2 linked regions of the Kluyveromyces lactis genome follow. The protein of the gene in region 1 binds, or shares a complex with, the protein of each later gene. Links are inferred from orthologs where the notes say so. Each region holds a gene or a part of one and is shown in the gene's direction. Other genes may lie near its edges.

Evidence for each region.
Region 2: MRPL35 (region 1) and MRPL50 share a complex: the UniProt entries of both Saccharomyces cerevisiae proteins name them as parts of the mitochondrial large ribosomal subunit. The link is inferred for Kluyveromyces lactis from reciprocal best matches to the Saccharomyces cerevisiae genes MRPL35 and MRPL50.

Annotation. Positions count from the first base shown.
Region 1 is NC_006040.1:1,119,634-1,122,683, forward strand, and holds MRPL35 (mitochondrial 54S ribosomal protein mL38), read left to right. Parts: upstream 1-1,311; coding exon 1,312-2,403; downstream 2,404-3,050. Other genes in the region: KLLA0_D13068g (M1 family metallopeptidase), read right to left, coding at 1-229; KLLA0_D13079g (uncharacterized protein), read right to left, coding at 521-787; TIM11 (F1F0 ATP synthase subunit e), read right to left, coding at 3,036-3,050. UniProt on the Saccharomyces cerevisiae protein: Component of the mitochondrial ribosome (mitoribosome), a dedicated translation machinery responsible for the synthesis of mitochondrial genome-encoded proteins, including at least some of the essential transmembrane subunits of the mitochondrial respiratory chain.
Region 2 is NC_006039.1:791,544-794,090, forward strand, and holds MRPL50 (mitochondrial 54S ribosomal protein bL9m MRPL50), read left to right. Parts: upstream 1-1,535; coding exon 1,536-1,940; downstream 1,941-2,547. Other genes in the region: RSC6 (Rsc6p), read right to left, coding at 1-986; KLLA0_C09086g (uncharacterized protein), read right to left, coding at 2,326-2,547. UniProt on the Saccharomyces cerevisiae protein: Component of the mitochondrial ribosome (mitoribosome), a dedicated translation machinery responsible for the synthesis of mitochondrial genome-encoded proteins, including at least some of the essential transmembrane subunits of the mitochondrial respiratory chain.

The DNA of each region.
Region 1 (3,050 bases):
GGTCCTTCATTCCCAAAGACACAGACCCCTCTTTCAGTTCAACCACCGCAGAAACGATCTCAATGTCCCTCATATTCAATGAAATCATGTCATTGGCATTAACAGTGGACATAATAATACGCACGGATCCGATAAATGAATTGTGCTCAGCATCTAACTCACTCAATTCAATCTCATAATGGTTGGCCCTAAAGTCGGTTGGTAGAGTTTGAATCTTAACGTCAGCCATCTTTCAGTGAATCAGGTATAAACTATTCCAATACCTAATTGGTTCTCTGGATATATCACCCCAGTTGTCTTATATAGTGAAAAATCCAATATGAAATCAAAGAGTAGGTGTCATTCAAAGCTTTATCAAAGGTCTTAAGTGTTATCAATCTGTTTTCGTCAATGTGTCAAAATTTTTTTCTACCTTCCCTGCTGAAAAGCTCAGAAGTGAGCGTAGAAATTTTGATATAAGACGGAGTAGTATGAAAAGAGAAGCTCCTCCATTATCCAGCAGCACAACTGCTCATACGTTTCACCTCTTGTGTAGTTTTGGCAGTAGTTTCTTTGACCTATTAAACATTTTGCGCAGTATTGAAGAAGACCGTCTCTTTAGCTGATCTCCGACATCAGAGTCAATTGAGTCGCTTATATCAGAATCGGAGCTGAACATAGAGGGAAAAGCTCTCTCTGTTGGAGTTTGTGTATCAAACTGCGAGTAAACTTGAAGTTTAGATATTAGTATGGTAACTGCCTCGACATCGTGCCTTAACTCTGTAGAATTCGGTTCTGAACCGTTCATATTTGATTTAATAAGCTTTTGAATATTATACAGGATAATACAGGGAATGAGAAGTAAACCTACAATGCTGATTGGCAAAGGGTCTTTATACCAGGAAAAAGTTGAGGCATCTTGTCTTTACAGATCTGAAACAATGTCGCGATGAGCATTCTCATATAAGATTCGTCGTTTCAAACATAAATGATCATTATAATCCGCATATAGGAAAGGGAAGAAGAAAATATACAAAGAAAGATGGATATGATGGGTTCGCTGGATCAGAAGAGCGTCATTTGCAACATATGAAACCGAATGGCAGTCTCAAAGGCAAAGCTTACCAGTTATTGATCTCTGAACTTCCACTTGGAGCGAGAGGCACGATCTTCTGTTACCCGGACTGAAACACATTAAAATTTTTTGGTGAAAAATCGATTTCGAACGATTCAGATGAGTTTTAAGTATGAACGGACAATGAAGATACATGAATAATCAGTTGTAGGATCCCATTGGAGGGTGTTTCAGAGACTAACAACTCGAATTGGAGAATGTTGCGTAGAGGGTTGCACAGCAGTGCCAAATGTTTAGAGAAAACCGGGGTATGGTCGGACTTTTCTAAGAGATCCAAGTCGCTTGGTTTAGCATCAGAATCGATTAAGAAATACATCTTTCAAGGCGACAGCGATGACGTTAGAAGACGAGGTCCACCGTCTTTGAAGCGGAGGATGAACCGTTTGAAGTATACCTCTCCTGAACATATTGATGAGATGTTCCGCTTGAGTTATGAGTTTATGAGTAAGCGCGCTGAAGAGAAGTATTCGCAACTAGAAAATGAGACTGATGCCAAGGTACGTGCTAAGTTAGAAACAGAGGCTGAATTGCATAACCCAGAGGTCCAATACAATTTTCAGTATCATGACAAGTTAGAGAACGATACTAGAGTGATAGATTATGCTGTTCCAGTGTACAGGCGTTTGGGGCTGAAGCATTGGGAATCCTACGAAAAAATGTTGTTAATGCAAAGACTAGAGACTTTGAGTGTAATCCCCGATACGTTACCTACTTTACAACCAAGAGTACAGGTTAATTTACGTTTCCCATTCAGTACTGGTGTGAACAAATGGGTTGAACCTGGTGAAATTTTGTCCTCCAACACGACTTCGATGGTTCCAACAATTAAGATTCAAGAGTACGAGAACGGTATCGACTTCGAAAAGCAAAAATACACTGTGGTAATTGTGAATCCAGATGAACCGGATGTGTTGAATGATACATTCAAGACGACTTTGGCGTTCGGTTTGACTAATTTAAAGATAGACTATAACGACAACGTGGTAGATCCAAGAAAATACAATGAATCGCAGATTCTTGCAGATTACATTCCTCCAGTACCTGAGAAAAATGTTGGCAAGCAAAGGTTCTCTGTATGGGTATTCAGACAGAATGGTGATTTGGAATCCCCTGAACCAGTCGATAGAGAAAACTTCGATATTAGAGAATTTGTTCGTTCCCACAACTTGGACCCGGTTGGTGCTCATGTTTGGAGATCAGAATGGGATTCTAACGTGGCAAACATTAGAGAGAAATACGGATTACCAGAAGGGAGAGTGTTCCATAGAGTTCGTAGATCTGTTGTATGAAAAAAAAAATGAAAGTTTCCAGAAAGAGTTTATTTCCTCCTCGTCTCTCTCGCGATATATATGATTACACACTTTTCAACAACCTCAGGTGGTCTGAATAATATCTCATACCTCATGTAAATAATATGCAATGTAGAAAATCAATGCAACATACGCAAATCATAAAAAAAACTAAAAAGCTTGTTCGAATCTATTAAGAATATGATCATTAGTTAACATTTATTCCCGGTAACATAATAAATTATATAGTAATAATACGGTGTATGGTGCGTGCGTTCATGTGCGTCTGTTTTTTTGGACTGCCTCTGATTGAATATTTTCCTAGAGGCTATATATAGAATCTTCTTTTTTTTTGGCTGTTTCTTCTTCATATGTTATTGTATTGGCTGTAAATCTAATCGTAACAAAAAAAAGGATTCGTGAGGTCTTTCGTTCTTAGTCGAGGAAAGCAGATATAACTCTTGTTGTCATCATTTCTTGTTGACTACCAGAATTCAAACAGAGAATACAACCTTTTATTTTTCTATTATGCTTCAGCTCGGAGTTATGCATACAAGTTCCTTTCCCTTGTTACACAAAAGAGAAAAAAGAAGAATTAAACACACCTCTCCTTATTTCATAAGTCCTGTTGCTTATTGCTTCAAGGA
Region 2 (2,547 bases), on another chromosome or scaffold:
GAAGACTGATCTACACGAATAGTATAGTCAAGTCTTATTGGAGGTATCGGTTTTACATGATCTTTCACTAGACTTGGCAAATCGGCGAGCTTCAAAGAAACAATGCCTGCGGCAAGCCTTTCTGGAGACACTAGCTTTGCTAATGAAGCATCCATTTTCACTAAGACTTTCTCACCGTTTGTGGAATCCTTTGGTCCCGCCTCGTCGTTATTCGTCAATAGACTGTTTAATAGAATATATTTGTAAAGAGAGTATATCGCCTCATGAAAGGTTCCTTTTGAGAATCCGACAATACATGATAGTTCTGGTGAATACTGTAAGAACTCCCCTGTATACCCTTTTGGTTGGATAGTGATGGTACAGTTAACGTTTTCAGTACCCTTACGTGAAACATCAACACCGTCAAACTCTACAGGAGTATTAGGATCCACATGCCATTCAAAAACGGTTTGCTCATTTTTTGGCTTTTTAGCACTAGGTTCCTGTGTCCCTTCTAATAAGGGGTCTCCCATTTCTTGATCAGTTTCATCATCTTGATCTTCCTCTACAGGTTTGAAATCTATCGCGACGCTTTCTATAAAGGAGGAAAATTTAGGCCTATTTGGATCGTCTGCCTTCCCATTATCTAACAGTCTACCTTCAATACGCAATGTCCATGATGCTTGATCAAGTTCCATGGTCTCATCGTTCGTCTGCCATGGCTGGTTCTCAGAAATATTAGAAATGAAAACACGAACAAACTGATTATTCGCAGGATCTGTGTATTTGGAATGAGTCCATTGAGTAATATTCTGATGCAAATCAATTTTTTTACGACTTAAATATATGTCAATTCTCTTCTCAGCCTCTTGTAACTTACTTAGCCCATCCAATTCTGGTATTAATTTCTTCAAATACGGTTGGATATACATGTCAGTTGGTTGTGCAACTGGCACAGTTTGTGCCTGTTGATGTTCAACCGTTGCTCCACTCTGTGCCGCAGACATTTGATTTTGATTTTTCTTTAATCTCAATCTAGCGGTAGCTTAGTTTATTCTACTAGGAGGTAAGCAGATGATATGTCTCATCTATACAAGTTGATGCATGTAAGTTAATGTACCAAAAGCTAGTGAATGCTTTGTTTAGGTTGATTGAATAATTCGAAAAACTGATGTTGAAACAACGAAAGCACCCATACACCCATACACCCATACAATACTTTATAGCGAATCGTATTAGGTTAGATTGTATCCATTACGCAGTTCATTTATAAATAAGTATTTCAAAGGTTACAAACACGGAGTAGTACAGTATGAACGGCTGTCACTCGCTAAACCAATCTTTTATCTTCTTTTTATGTACACATCTTTTAACTAGGCTGGCACTTAGATATGATTTTAAAGCTTCAAAAATTTTTGATAGTTTAAAATCACATTAGAACAAGATCAATCTAAAAGTTAACCATAAGCAGGGAATTAAAAATAGCGTCAATTGTGTTTGAAGTGCTATTCCAATAACTGCACACGCTCCAAGGGCTTTTAAAATATTACAGCAAAATGTTCAGACCGACATCATCGTGTCTTTCTGCCTTAACCAAACGTACAAAGAGAGTACAGGTACAGTTATTAAAAGATTTTCCTCAGTTCCAATTTCATACCGGCGAGGTGGTAAATGTCAAGCCCTCACTAATGAGAAACTTCTTGCACAACTATAATGGAGCCCGCTACATTCTAAAGGAAACTGATATTGACCAAGCCCTGTTGACCTCAGCTAAGAGATCACGTGCATCAGCAGCAGCTTTATTAAAAACAACCGAATCAACGGTGAAGAAGACTGAACAGAACGTAAAGAAGGCTAAGCAGGTATCCAAGGAAGAAAATAAGACACCAGAAACTCCTAAGTCAGCATTAAACGAAGAAATAACTATCGAGAATGTGAAGATTCCAGGATTAGACTTATGATAGTAAATGTTTTATCTTTTTTTTCCTCCTTACGCGGATCATTTGAGATACCAATGTCTTACAAAATAATAATGATCATGGATGTTGTTCGTGACGTCTCGTCCCCATTGCGGTTCAGAGGCACATTCATACACTTGTACATAAATTACATTAAAATAACTTGCGAAAACAATAAAGAAAGTTCGTTGCATCCAATCGCTACCAGTTGAAGTAATAACGTGGACAGTAGATCTGGATGATTCATACTAAATGGGGATTGACAAGAGAGTTATTACTACAGGAACGCTCATCACCTGGACGAGCATATTTCTCTTGATCAGCTTTAACTGTTGCTTTGGAAATAAAGAGACGAGAATGAGAAACAACCCCAATAGTGATGAACTTTCTAAATTCTCATTTTCTGTTTGTTTCTCAGACGTCTTTCTCTCTTTTCTCTTTTCTTCAACTCCATTTTATCAAGTTCTTGGTCGGTCAACTTGTCTCTCATATCCTTTCTCTTTTGTCTCTCAGCTTCTTGTTTTTTTTCAAGAGCCATTTCTCTTTCAACCTGTTGCATGACTTTAACAATCTTGCCTAACTCTTCTTTACGCAATTGAATACCCTTCTT